2 linked regions of the Lepisosteus oculatus genome follow. The protein of the gene in region 2 interacts with the protein of the main gene of each other region in a biochemical or structural test. Links are inferred from orthologs where the notes say so. Each region holds a gene or a part of one and is shown on either strand. Other genes may lie near its edges.

Region 1 (7,301 bases), on a different chromosome or scaffold from region 2:
TGAAACCATGAGAACTGAGCACATACAGTACTTAGTTAAGAGGATCCACAGTGAGAAATGAGCTACAGGAAATTGATTTATAATATTGCCTTGATATCCTAACACGCAGACATTACAGTCATTACCCTAAATTAAGAATATCACAGAGGAAATATTAAGAGTCCTGCTATGCCACAGCTTTATTAGGTCCACAGTCATGCTCGATCAGGTCACTCTCTTGCTCTTACCATGTTATATGGACAATACATTTTTTTTAATGTGCATTTTATATGCCTAATAGGCTAAAAGAGATTCAAAATTCAAAACATGAGCCAGTATATAATATATATTATGCTGAGACTTCAATCATGGAAAATAGGATAATATCTAAGAATTTGCATTCTGTTATGCAAAAATTAAAGCAGAATTAACATGCCACATTTACAATGGTAGATTTCTTATTCATTTTGCACTAAAACCAGGCAGGTGGGAAAGGTAAGACCTTAAGCTGCAATAATAATAATATAGATGGGGGTTCTTTTCCTGTTGTATCAAAGCTGATAGCTTCATACCTCACTTATACACTTATAAGTAACTTATACTCTTACAGGTTTAGGCACTCTTACTGCATAAATAGATAACACACTGTCTGGGTAGAATGAAGAGTTTGTCATTTTACAATAATAAACAATTCGATTTTTAAGCAAATGTAGTGCTAAATGCAGTGCACTATATGGATAAAAGTAGTAAAAAATGAGAAAGTAGCAATAGAGACCTATGATTTCAGTTTTTATCATTATCATAAGAGTCCCTTACATTTATTAACCATTTTCCATCCTCATCCTCATCTACCACTGAAGTGCCACATCCCCCTGTCGGAGGTTTGGCTGTCACTGTGTACCAGCAAACCCACACAGCAGATCAGAAGAAGGAGTGAAAAATTGTTTTAGAGATTGTATTAATCTTAGGTATTATTGTATTAATTAGGTAGGCCTAATTGTGCAAGCCAAAAGTGGAATTTAGCCAGGACACTGGGTCTAACACCTCTACTCTGGTATTAAATCTTCTAATCTTCAATGTCTAAGTAGCCAGGACCTTGTTGTAAGGCCATATCCAATGAATATTACCTACTACTGTGTCCCTGTCATTGGTTTGGACAATTTATCGGGCAGCAAAGTTGCCACCTACAAGTCCAGTGACATCAGTTTGAAGTATCCCACTCCATCCTTGTAAAGCTTCTAAGAGCTGACAAGATCAGGCCAGGAGGTAATAACGCTGCCATCAGACTATACAGTGGATAAATGGATACAGTCTGAATTACTCTTCTTTTCACTTTGTTCAAACTACTCACCTTCATTATTCACTAAAGATTCTAAGGATTCTCCCCATTTCTTGGCATCCCCTGGACAGATTCTGTAAAAGATGTTCAATATTGTGTTTATAAGTATTCCATCTACTTTTCACCCAATTACCTAAATCTGATATACTGTCTCTAATGTTGTACCTGATCTTCCTAACAATATTTAGAATTTTGATCCTGAAGGAATTGAAAAATTATAGTGTAAAACATCATTGTGTTTTAATGTACCTTAAATCGATAAGAGTAATCATATCTTTATGGTCCTTACATAGTTACATAGTGGCATACATATTGACTAAAATTTTCTGTATTCAATTTATGTTTTTAACTGCTATTTATCTCATTGAAATTTCAATGCGGAGTTGTACAGTATTTATGTTGCTTTTCTGGTTCCTATAAAATGTATTGCAGATAACACCAGTGATACAACCTGCCACTTGCAAGGTATTAATAAAACGTGTAGGGACAGGAAGGCAGGAAGAAGAGCAGGGAAATTTTATTATATATAATGTATATTGTTTGTGCTATGAAACCATCTGTCTTAAGGAGGTTTATTGCACCTCAGGAGAACTACAATGAATGTTTTTTTTCTTTTATGATAATGGATTGTGCTCCTTTTTTCGTTTACTGGATTTTTTAATATACTCACTTCTTTGGTCCAAAGGATTTCTCCTTTTTGTGGTTAGCATTATTCTGATCAGGCATCAAGTCGGGCTTCTGAAGAAGAAATCCGAAACGATGCTTCATATCTTTTGCACTGGAGAAAAAAAAATGATATAATGCCTGAAAACACATCCAAGGTTTCACATGGAGATGTGAAAATTATATATATATTATATAATGTGAAAGGTACTACTACTAAGTTAAAATCAAGAAAGCATGGCATTTATTCACAATTGAGAACCATTTCTTCAAATCTGTACTTATATTTGTATTCAGATTTAATCACACTATACTGCATTGCAGTATTTTGTTCTTTTTTGAGTATGGAATATTAACTTTCAGAACAATGAGGTACATTTAATTTTTGTTTTCTATCTCTGCTTATATATTCATAAACTTGGTCAGTACAAAGACAACCAATTTCAGATAACAGCATGCAAAACATTTAAACAGTGTTCTTAACTCTAAATCATTAAATCAATATTCCATTGAACACCACAGCAATCTACAGGGTTAATGCATAATGGCAGATCTTTTCAAAAGGTTGCAACATGTATGTGTTCTTTAAATAAAACAAAGCATTTTAAAGTTGTTAAGTTCTTACACAAATATTCATAATTAGCTTACCTCTCATCATCAGTCTCTTAAATGAGGTACAGTTATTTTCAATTTCACAAGTATTTCAAGGAGAAAATACTTCTTTAAAGTACAATAAATTGTTCAGTACTTTTTTTCACATATAGTACTGTAAACTCAGAATGACAATGTTTGAAAAATATATTTTACAGTCTAAATTGTATCAATGGTATTCAATTCCATTAGAGATGCTAGCTAAAAAAAACGTATTTTATGACAATTAAATTTTCATACCTTTTCAAACATGTTGCAGGAAGCGCTGCAAGTCCCTTGCACATTTTGACTTTGGGTTACAATTCCAGCAGAAAAGAGGAATGAACGTTAATCTTTGCCTTCTCTTGCGTACTGCTGAGCAGGGTGTCTCTCAATGCTTAACTGCACTTCCCTCTGCCAGTTTAGGTTTTATAGCTCTGTAGTCTCTGGGGTCAGATGGCCAGCCAATCATCAGTGTTCTCTTTAAACAGCTGTCTGCTGCCTGCAGTTGGGAAGACTGCAAAGGATAGAAAAAATGAAATAAAATAATATACCCAACTTAACAAAGCACAGCTGTCTTGTGTTTAGACCATACACCATAGATGACAACAGGACAATCTGTTTGATCTGTTGTATTTTTTTTTCTGTGACAACTAGTGAAACCAGAAGCTAAAGAGGAAAATTGTTCCCAAAGGATCGATAAAAAGTTAACAGCCTAAAGATGACAGAAAGAAGGTAGTGCCCTGTTCACGAAGCTAGCAGTTAAGCCCAACTAAACCTTATTTATTGTTTTACATGACCATTTTAGTTAGAATAATACCATTATGGCAACTTTTTTTTTATTTTTAAGGCACCCTTAAAATTAGTTTTCACTCCATGCACATAGCCTTACATACCGTTGATAACTACATGCATAGAATTTATATTTTCCACATATTTGCAAACGTTTTCTCAAGGTGCTCCAGTTTCCTTTCAGAATCCAAAGCCATGCTAGTAATTTAATTGATTTCTGTAAAACTGGCCCTGTGGTGAGTGTGCCTGTTAGTGTCTGTGTGTGCCCTACAACAGACTGAAATGTAATCCAGGCTATATCCAGGTTTGCACTCATTGCTTGCCCGGTTATGCTGCAGCTCTCCTACAACCCTGTACTGGGTAAAGTGGTTGGAAAATGAACAGATTTATTTGAAAAAATAGAAGTCAGGTATGCCTGTTGTAGGTGATAACTCTTCAGAAAAAAATATTTTTTTCAAATCTTAAGCGACTTACTTTTTTAGTTAAACAACATCAATTCAGTATTAAATCAGATCACATCTTGTAGTATCTTGTTTTTTTATTTTATGTGTAGTACAGTCTCTGATATTTCACTAGAAAATAATATGCAGTATTAATTGTTTACACAATTACTTATCAACCATTTCCATTGGACTATAAATCAAATTTGTACTTATTTGTTCATTAGATGGTCAATTTGAATTTTTGTTCTGAAATTAAATTAATTTACAAGCATCTGTCATTTGATGAAAACATGGGTCAAACAGAAGCAGCATGTCACATCAGTATTTGCTTAAAATTACTCCCTGTGTTCCTGTTTTGTTCATGTTCTTAAACTAAGATTTCCACTGAGTTATAAAATGAGCAAAGAATAGGGTAGTCTACCACATATTTGTGATAGTGCTCTAATAGTGTACTTTTTCCAACACACATACTGTACATTTAACCTACAGAGAATAACATTACAAATAATATAGGTCAGCTCTGCTTAGATATCCCTTTCATGAAATACAGCTGTTTGATGTAACAATATCATGGGATCAATTTTGACCTTTTGTGACAAGTACTGGGATTGCAGTTGATCTAAATGTTTTGTGTTAGGATTAAGTATTGTCTTAGAAGATACTGCAAAGTCTGGCCATGAAGAATAAAGAAGGCCATTTTTAGAAGAATAAAGACACTGGAAATATATTAACTAGTGAGCTCAACTAGAATGCCAAATGGCTTCATAATTCAAAATTGTTCTGAGACAGGTAAAATTCCTTTATCCTCAGCCACAGTCTCATAAATCATAACAATGAGCACAGATTGTGAGAATTTCTTATTAATTTCTTTGACCCATTGGCTGACATCAACTCTGGCCATCAGAACTTTAATAGAATCAGACTAACTCTCTAGTGCTGAGTGGTATTGAGATACCTGGGTGAGGAAACAAGAGTCTGGCTGTTGTCTGACAAGACAACTGGAATCTTCCCACTAGGTGAATTGAGCTAAGGTATTTCTGCATAGGCTGTGATAGAACAACATAATTGAGTACAGATCTACCAATTACAAATATCTGAGAAGATATTAAATGACAAAATCAGACAGCTATCGAAGTGTGGTAGAATTATTATTTTTTTTTAATTGAGAGCATGTTGAAAAAGCCTGACCTGTCCATATTATCCAATTATCTTGGAGCTCAGTAGCTGCTTCATTTCCTAGATTCTAACAGTTTATTTCATGCACACTAATAAGTATGACAGTCACGAATGACCCACTGAAGAAATGGGAGGATGAATCCTATGCAGTACCTAAGGGACTAGGCGAGAGACTAAGTCCGAGTCGAGAGCCGAAGTTCGTAGAAAAAGGTAGCAGAGTAGGTTTCCAATCCAAAAGAGGGCAAGGGTGACGTCGTAGTCGAAAAGGCAGTTCCGTGATCAAAAGGTGAAGGTCAATCAAGAAGGCTTCCAAATCCAAAGGGACAAGACAGTAGACGTAGCCAAAGGTGAGCCAAAGCCAAGCTAGGTAACAAAGAGCAAGAAGGAAACAAAAACTGAGGCAAGTTAGGTATACAAAAGAACAACCAATACCAGGCTAAGATCAGAGGGTTCAGAGTACGTTTAAGTACTGTGCAAGGAAGAAGGTGCGTTGATTGAAGAAGTGTCGTGGTTGGCCGATTTGCAGGGGCGGTGTCGTTTGGCAGAAGTGCCCAGGGCTGGAGTGTAATTAGTGCGGCTGCGTTTGCGAGAATGTGCTGAGTAGAGGGCATGACAGACAGAGTGGATCGGTTATGTAAATTGATGCAAAAATCAAATCAAGAAGCATATATCAAATCCAAAATTCATGCTAAAACCAGTAAAAATCAATAGGCTGTTCTCCTGTAGGAAAAACAATAGACAAATTGTCCACTCGGTACTACAGGAATTTAATTAGGGAAATTGCCCATCCTTTTTGCTAAGAGAAAGTAAAGTCTTGTGTATAACAACACTGATATACGTAGAAGTGTATTAGAGCATTACTAATAATTAGTAAATATCTACATATATCTCATTCTTTTTTAAATGCATTTAATCTTTATGCATGAGACAACTATTTTGTTTTATTTATTGTAAATATGCAAAACATAATAAAAGTATTTAAAGTTTGCAACATATTAATCAGACTGACTTATACAATTGAGTTTTTACAGCTAATGAGCATATTTTAATTTCTGATATTTTATAGTTCAATGGAATTGAACTTCAATTTGATAAATAAACAAGTTGAATTGTGTGAAACAAAGTGTGGCCTAGATATCCACTAGTGACTCAGCAGTGGGTACTGATCAGCACACTAAATGAGGATCAACAAGCATTTCCTTAGGGAACATTTTCAACCCGGGACATGACAAATAGAAAACCTGAATTACTAACAAGCAGCAGCTGTGACCAGATTTTGCTTTTGTTTCTGAAGTTCCAATGTTCCACTGTGTTGTTTTGATTCATTACAAGGTATTAACAGGCACGTTAGTAGCATATACTTTAAATGCTGAATCACAGCACTTGTCTGTATTAGCCAGGAAACGTAATGACCTCCCTTGGCTTTGGATATTTCCACATTATTTGCTGCAGCAGACAGCATATTGAGTTTTTATACTGCAAGGGCACTGATGAAACCCGGGATAACAATTAAAATGTTCTTCTTAGAAACTAATAAATTCACATTTTGAATCCAAGCTCTTCTAATTAACAGTGTTATAATAATAAACAGCGTAAACGTATAATAAACAGCATAAACAGCGTTAACGAAGGGTGTACTGTGCTTTTTTTTTAAATGGATTTAACAATGGGTCCTTATTATTGTTCTTTATTATATTATTGTAAATAGTGGACTTGAAGATTCCAGTTATAGAAATTGCAGGTTTTTTACTGGCTAACAGAAGCAAATATGAGCTTAATTTTTCATTTCACCATTACAAGCATTTAAGATTTTGTGGTGCACAAAGTTTGTAGCACAAACGTTTTCATGAGGTTAAGAGAAATTATACCGTGTCGTGTCCACAACTGGTAACTTGAAGAAGTCAAGTTTTGGGTTTATACGTCGGGGTCTGGTCCGGCAGTGAAGCTCCGCTCCTGTTTAGCCTCCGAAGCCGTACAGGGTGCGGCCCTGGCGCTTCAGCGCATACACCACGTCCATGGCAGTGATGGTCTTCCTCTTGGCATGCTCGGTGTAGGTGACGGCGTCGCGGATAACGTTCTCCAGGAACACTTTCAGCACCCCACAGGTCTCCTCGTAGATAAGCCTGGAGATCCGCTTCACTCCACCACTGTGAGCCAGGCGGCGAATGGCGGGCTTGGTGATTCCCTGGATGTTGTCTCGGAGAACCTTGCGGTGACGCTTAGCGCCTCCTTTCCCGAGTCCCTTTCCGCCTTTGCCTCTTCCAGCCATCTTCAAGTTA
Region 2 (7,680 bases):
CAGGAAAACCTGCTATGGACTGTGTTAGCATCCTGTGTGCTTGACCTGCTCTGAGAGGATGTGTGGTGAGTGAGTGTTTCTCCCCCCAGTTCCTTCAGTTCCTACTGACACACACAAGCAAGAGGGCAGGGAGAAGCTTGAAAGAAGCCAGGGGTGGAGCAGTTTAACCAATATCTGTGGAAGGTTCGAAACTGAATCTGTCTGCTTTGCTTAAACATTAAACTGTGGTGCTTCACCTACAGCCTAAGTCTTGTCTGCGGTGGCCTGAGCCCTGCAGGGCTCAGGGGGGTGTCACCTGTCTCACAAGCACAAAATAAACTCACTCACCTCTCTGAGGCCATCCCAAATTCTCTCCCGTCTCACCGCCATAGAGAGTGCAGAGAACTGAGGGTCGTTGGGTGTCTCCCACATGTGACTGCAGACACTGGTGCTGAGCATTTGTGCCCTGCTGTCTCTGTGGATCCTACGCACACTGTGCAGAGACAGAAGGCTGGAAAACTCAAGCTCCTTGCACTGGAGTGTGACAAACTTGAACAGTATTGCTGCTGTTTCTGAATCATCGCGCGGAGGTCCCTGGAGCATCCGGAAATAAAACTATGAAAGCTTTTCCTTAGAAGAGCTTTCAAATTATTGTGTAGGATATTTATTTTGGAATATTTCAAGAAACAAAATCAGTAAAAGACGTCTGAATCTGGCACACACACACACACATCTATGCACTATATAGACACATATAGTACAGTATATACACACATAAGGAAATTTCAGAAAACCAGTGAAGTGTGAGAATTCCTCGTCTCAATGTTGACCCATTTCTGCACAGAGCTATCCCAGAGAGCTCTTGGATTGGTCAGTCTAGCTCGGTTTTACTGCAGAGACTTCTTAGGTGGCAACCCTGTGAGATGTCCACAGACAAAAACTGCATTAATGCAGTTTATTTGCAAACGTGGCAATTTATATTTAGGTGACTTACTAAGGAAACTGTTTTTTCATGAATGGCGGGGACTTGTTTCCCGGAGAATGAGGAGGATTTAGGATTTAGTGATGCCTTTCTGTGAACCACATTAATATCAGGTATTGTTTTCTTTAGTGAAAGCCGTGCAAATCAGTTTAATTCACCAAATTAAATTTTAGCTTTTTTTGGATTACAAAGCCTGGACTCTTGAACGCAGTGAGTCTTAGACTCTTTTTTTTTTTACTTAAGGTTTTTCTTATGGTAATTTACAGCTGATCACTCAACACGTTCATTCTTTTAAAGTTAGTCTTAACTAAAGTGTAGATCACCTCAAATGATCTGGGCCGAAGTGTTACAGTGTTGTAGCCAATGATATAATTAGACTAGCTGTGTAGCTGAGAGCTCTGGTGGGGTTTTATATCCTTTGCCTTTAGATGGGCTATGGAAACCCCAGACAGCTGAAAGGTGTTGCAGCTGAGGGATCCTGTGCTGTTGGTGACCAGAGCTACACTAATCTGTCTGTCCTGCTCATCACTGACATCCCTTGAATATACTCCAAGCACCAGGCAGCCTTGGAGACTAGCTTTTACCACTAAAAACAAGACGTGGCTCAAGTGCAAAGAACAGGTTTAATCAGTTTTATTAGAAATAGTAGGTATAGTGGTATTTTTAAGGTATTGTTAGATATAACAACAGTGCATTATTTGCTTCTTGTTAACTGCAGACTCTTTAAACATCAAGTCCATCCTGTTTTCAATTTATTCTACCATTCCTTGAAAGTAAAAATAAATGGCCTTTCTCTGATTTTTTCATGCGTTTTCATTTATTTTCACATGCCACTGTGGTATAGGCTTGGCAGCTGTCATTAAGAGAGCCCTACCCATATGGTTCATTACGGGTCTCTGCTTGGCCTACCACAGTGCCATTACCCAGCCTGCTCTGGGATGCCAGGGGAACTTCTCGGAGTGTGGTGCAATGACAAGAGTGAGGCCTGGGCACAGGGCATCACTTCCTTCTGCTTCCTTAACGTCTTGATCACACGTAGTCTGATATCCTGAATCTTTTCACTTGGGCTTGTAGGTAAGCCCAAGCTTATACAAAAATGCCAGATGCAGATATATGTGATATCCAGAAATTAAATGATTACCTTACCCAGGCACCTTGTGACTGCAAGGTGCTACATGAGCAAACTTACTTCTCCAACACCGATGATGGTGACAATAACAATGATAATAATAAGAAAGAGAAGTAGACAAAGCTTGTTTAAACAAATGCTAGCTGCTTGCTGTGAAGGTTAGAGAGCTTCATACTGGTTGGCCACAGGAAATCGAGGGCACTCGGGTCCCAGGCAGGCTGGCCGCCCTGCGAGGGGGTCAGATCGCGTGTGAGAGCCTGGGAGGGGCAGGAGGAAGAAAGATGGCCAGCTGGCAGGATTCGTGCCCTCTGGGAAAGCTAGGGAGGAGTCTGAAACCAGGCTTACTACTGGCATGTGCATTACAATGGTTTTTTTTCATGATTGTGCAATTAATCAATTAACCAATCACACACTCGGGCAGACAGAAGTAACACTGGGGCTAATAACTCCCTGGGTCTCCTCTCTCTTGTACAGACCAACAGTACACAGATCACATGTGGAATCTACTGGGTTCTGAATGATGACACAGCTTCAAACTACACAGGTAACCACTGCACAGACATTCATGGCTTGGGACACAGTTTTCAACAGTTTTTAGGTGCACTTTTAAGTTACTATTAGAGAAAGAGCTGTGACTTTCATGCAATTTACAGTGCTTGCAGCTTCATGTCCTAATACTATAGAGATGCTATTTTAAATGTACAAAGCCTGAACACCCTGATCTATAGACTACAGAATTCTCTCAGTTTAAATCCGGCAGCTCAGACACACAGGAGGCAATCAGGTCGAAGGAGAAAACATTTCAGTGTCGATCTGGTATCATCCTGAAAAAGAAAGACTCCCAGCAATAGGAGGTCATTAAACTGCTCCAGATGAATGAAGAAACGGATACAGTTTTCCCCCGCAGCCTGGACAGACAAGGGCTCCCTGGATTTTGATATGTCTGGTAATGCATACTGAACAAATCTGCTTAGGAAAGATCATGTATTACAGAGCAGATTCTGCAGCACAAAACATCTCCCAACAGCATATTTTTGAGCAGTTAAAAGGAAAATTCCTTGTGCTGTTTATTACAATATCACTTTTATGAATCAGAAGTAGAGTTCTTGTTTCACTTCAAACTTTGACAAGACAGATAATGGCTTTCAGAGTTGTGTGGGGACTGTTTTCATTAACAGGCAATTATAAAATAAATCAAACTCAATTAAGCTCATGCTGTGTTCATTTTGGTCTTACATATTGTAGGTAGTGCTTCTGATGCAGAGCAGTAAGCACGCATAGTATCTAGAAGTCCTGTCAGCAATAGCAGACTCTCCCACAGGTGTTAAGTTAATCAATCTGTCGTCTTCAGGGCATGAGGAGAGGAGCACCAGGTTTCTGGGACACAACGGATCATGTTTTAGAAACATATTGATTAGTTTTTGTCTGTGGATTTGTTGTGGTTGGGGACTAGTCTCGTGTGTCATGACCATGTAATGGGATTCGATTTGGGAGCTTTGGAAACGGAGAAAAACAAAGCAGGTCTTCCTGCATTTCTGTAAATGGTGGCTGTTAAGATGGCGAAGCTAACTAACGCCACTTCCTTCGCGCGCACAACCATCACTTTCTCTGGGAAAATGTTTCTACTGAACCGAATAGCACTTGTAGAAGGAGTCAGTCCAGAGCTCTAACCAGCATGCAAAGGTGCTCTACATCAGTTGTGTTCGTGTATGTAGGCAAGACTGCACGTACCATAGATTTACAACACGAATAGTCACATTTTATTGCCTGTCTTAAAAAAGTGCCACCTCCTCTCATTCAGAAACAAACGCTTTTGTATTTAAGGCCTAGCACTTGATCCCGGAGCCGCAGTAATCCTGTAGCTCCAGTGCGCGTGTTCGTTGTCGCAGCCAGGAGAGGTCAAAGTGCGCTTTCTGTCCTCGAGCAGAGCGATCGGATGAGCTTTGAGCTTTCAAAACTCACGTGATGCCACACAGTACAGTCATTTTCTTATGACTGGACGAAAGGTGCGCGTATCCCTTGATAACAAGTTATATTTCACTAGTAACAGACTTCTGCAGAATTTTACGGACCATTTCTGTAAAATAAACTTGATTTAGTGAGGGAGCAAACTCCCACAAGGCTGAGTTTCTAGAAAGGTATTACCGATGGACCTACGTGTAGATCAGGACTCGGGGGCGCAACACCCTTTCTCAACTTTTTTGTAAATTTCAGTTTACTCTTTGCACGACTGCACAGCACGACAATAACGCAGCCGAGAGTAAGGGATCTCTCTGCAATAGATTAGCTGGAGTTATAATTGACAATTCTTCTAAGCCTCAAAGCGGTTTTGCGATTCTCCCATGACTAAACAACTCGAAATAAAACAAAATAAAGAAATGATTTCAATAGTCGTCATGGTACGCTCTACAGAAGGGGGCTCTCTTTTAAATATCCCGTGTCAATAATCGAAGTCCTCCAGAGAGCTTCGCTAGACCACACCTCGGTGCGAATACGCCCGGCCTGCACAGACACCTTCCCGGACACAATAGAGCACAAAGCTCCAGTCTGCACCCCGCACACTCGGGACGTTTTCAGAGAACGACAGTGACAACGGCTACTCGCACAGGCGGGTCACTCGGGGGCGATCCCGCTCCTCAAAGCTCGTCCTTAAACAGGAGAAGCAGCGACAAAAGGGAGGGGAGAGGTCCTTCCCTCTGGATGGAGACGGTTAACGGTACTATCAGGATGCTCGCCGGAGCATGCTCGCTCGGTTTCTGACGTCAGTGAAATTGTCAGGGAGCACTGAGTCTGGCGCACTCTCCCTCCTGCCTCTCCATTGTGAACAGCTGAACGATGCGATCGCTCGCAGCCATCGCCGCCGCCCATTAGAGACCCCCAGCCCGAGCACCGAGCAGACGGACCCCCGAGAGAGAGAGAGTGAGCCCAGCCTTGTTCAGACCCGTGCCAACTGTAGTCGATCCGGTTTTTAATGCGTTAGTCGCCGAGAGACGGAGGGAGAGCGAGCGAGCGAGCGAGAGAGAGAGCGAGCGAGTGAGCGAGCGAGAAAGAGAGGGTACAGGGAAGAAACAGAAAAAAGGAGGATTGCTTGCTTTGATACCTTGCGTCTTTTTGGAAAGAAAAAGAGAGCCGAGATTTCCTAACCATGGGATGTACTCTGAGCGCCGAGGAAAGAGCCGCTTTGGAGAGGAGCAAAGCCATCGAGAAAAACCTGAAAGAAGACGGAATCACTGCCGCAAAAGATGTGAAATTACTCCTGCTAGGTAAGGCTGTGCTACGCTGACAAGCCCGGCTGTGGCCACTGTGGCTGTCGCCCATTCAGACCCTGCAGGCGAGAGAGAGCAGTCCCGGCGTTAGCGCGGCTGCTCGTCTGGCTCTAATCTCGTTTATCTCCTTACAACACAACACTGACGGCCCTTTTTATTCTGTGTTTTTATCCCAACAGGGGCAGGGGAATCAGGCAAAAGCACCATCGTGAAGCAGATGAAGTAAGTGGGCTGGTGTTCATGTCTTTTCGCCTTTAACACGGGCTGTGATTTTTTTTCCTCTCTTCGCCCCACCAATCGCCCCCCACCCCCCGACTCCCCTCCCCTCCCTGTCCATTCTCACCCTAGTCCGGTTGGCTAATACTTAGGTCCGCCATATTTTTCAAGGAATTATGATCGTTTTAGCACCGATCGAGCGCACCTAGCAACGCAGGCTTCGGAGACAAATTGGCAATGTGTGAGGCTTGGCCGTGAACGAATGCGTGTGCTGTTCACGGTAATGGTGCTGAAAAAGCAGAGAAAACCCTCGGTTTCGCGTGTGATCGCCGTGCGTGTGGAGCGGGAGGCGAGCGGTTGTAGCCCGCCGGAGAGCCATTAGGAGCGCACCTCTTCTCTCTTAAGCTTAATGCCTCGGTTTGAGCGCTCATCCCCCACCAGTTTCTGATCTCCTGACACGGGCTTGGAGAGTTCGCTCCCTCACATTCATTTAAAAAATCTGCCTATAATAAGGATTTAACTGGGGCAGAGATCTGCCATTTAAAGCCCCGTTTAGTGGAGATTTCAGGATTTCCCCCCCACGCCAGCTATTAAAACGGCCACGGGGGTGGTGGCAGCGCTTCCATTGTAAAAAGCAAATTGGAGTGTATTGTGTGTGTGGATCGCACACAAGCACACAGATACTGCGCGCAGACGAGAGTGTGAACTCGCGTGTGTGGAAGAACAGCACCCGAACCTGTCATCAGATACGGCCATTTTTTAATCTCACCCAGCCCAAGACAACCGAGTGCTCCTGCCTGCCTTCTAATTTCTCTTCTTCGTGTCTCATGTTGCGACCAGCAGGACAGCTCGGCTAGATTAGCCCATTTTTAGTGTAGTTCGCGCTAATAATAATAATAATAATAATAATAATAATAATAATAATAATAATAATACGTGGATGTATAATAAAGCACATACATCTGTTGTGTCTGAAGGGAACCGTATGTATGGCGCCTGATTAGAAACAAAGTGGGATTTTGGAAATAACGGTACTGTGTACTGAGCCTGCGGGTACTCGGCTGAAAACCGCCCCAGTGCCTTTGCCCGAGACGGGTTGAGTTCCCCTCTTCCCCTTTTGTGACATTCACATTTGTTCCTTGTAAATCGGTGGCTCAGTCTGCAGGTATGTACCTGTCGGTAGTAAAGCCAATTGTAAAAATAAGCCCGTATTGCAATGGCAGCAGGGCCCCTTCTGCGTTTGTGAGGGGAAGATCAGAGGATTTCAGGCGGTTGAGGTGGTGGACAGCGCCCAGCAGCGCCTGTTCGCTCAATCGTTGGAATTCGGAAACACTCGGGTGCTGTCGGGTATGGGTTCACCTACCGAGAAGGAGCGCTTGGAAAGGAGGGGGGATTCGGAGCGGATTTCTGCTGCATTCGGAGGCGTTCGGGCGTGTTCAGAGAGCCCGAGGTTGAGAGGGAAAGAGGAAAAGTCCGTAGAGTATTCTCTGCTTCGCCGGAGAACGGCAGTGGAGTGTGGATCGGGATTGTTAAAGCGAAATAAAAAACAAGATCCCATAGCAGGCAGTGTTGGGTTGTAGCGAAAGTGCTCAAGCAGTCTCCAGGCTTTATTAAGACAGGGAAAGGTAGGCTTTCAGGCGAGGTCTTGATATTACCAGTGCAATAACGTACCAACACTGTTAACTGTATGTAACAAAAACAAACCTGTTCGCCCGTCATTTATGAAATGACAACTTGTGACAATTAAATTTAATTCACAACCAGCCTCGGCAGATCTGCTTTTAAAACTCCTGCCTTGTGTTTGTAGATGAATGGGAGCGACAGTTAAAGACAACATTTGCATAGAAAGCGGCATTAAACCGTCGTTGTCCAAATTCTAGAGAATTGATCTCCCCCCGACATCTGTTTGGCTAAAATCAATGGATTGTGATTGTTTTTGTGTGGGAGCAAAAAAAAAACCCAACTGAAAGGGATAAGGGGTGTTGAAGCAGTTTCTGTATTGCTGGGGATAAGGGTGTGTTAACATCAAAGAATCTGGTCAGAGTCAGGAACTGAGCGAGTCCTGACAGTCAGTTGGGCTATGGTCAGTGGACCCATCCACTGAGGGG

What was found. The genes of interacting proteins can lie anywhere in the genome.
Region 1: the proteins of gnao1a (region 2) and rgs4 form a complex in vitro, tested with the Homo sapiens proteins (2 studies listed by BioGRID). The link is inferred for Lepisosteus oculatus from reciprocal best matches to the Homo sapiens genes GNAO1 and RGS4.

What each region holds. Positions count from the first base shown.
Region 1 is NC_090704.1:13,187,944-13,195,244, forward strand, and holds the start of rgs4 (regulator of G-protein signaling 4), read right to left. Parts: upstream 3,019-7,301; 5' UTR 2,917-3,018; coding exon 2,873-2,916; intron 2,097-2,872; coding exon 1,989-2,096; intron 1,393-1,988; coding exon 1,331-1,392; intron 1-1,330. Other genes in the region: histone H4, read right to left, coding at 6,980-7,291. UniProt on the Homo sapiens protein: Inhibits signal transduction by increasing the GTPase activity of G protein alpha subunits thereby driving them into their inactive GDP-bound form. Activity on G(z)-alpha is inhibited by phosphorylation of the G-protein.
Region 2 is NC_090715.1:1,057,402-1,065,081, reverse strand, and holds the start of gnao1a (guanine nucleotide binding protein (G protein), alpha activating activity polypeptide O, a), read left to right. Parts: upstream 1-4,667; 5' UTR 4,668-5,235; coding exon 5,236-5,353; intron 5,354-5,535; coding exon 5,536-5,578; intron 5,579-7,680. UniProt on the Homo sapiens protein: Guanine nucleotide-binding proteins (G proteins) function as transducers downstream of G protein-coupled receptors (GPCRs) in numerous signaling cascades.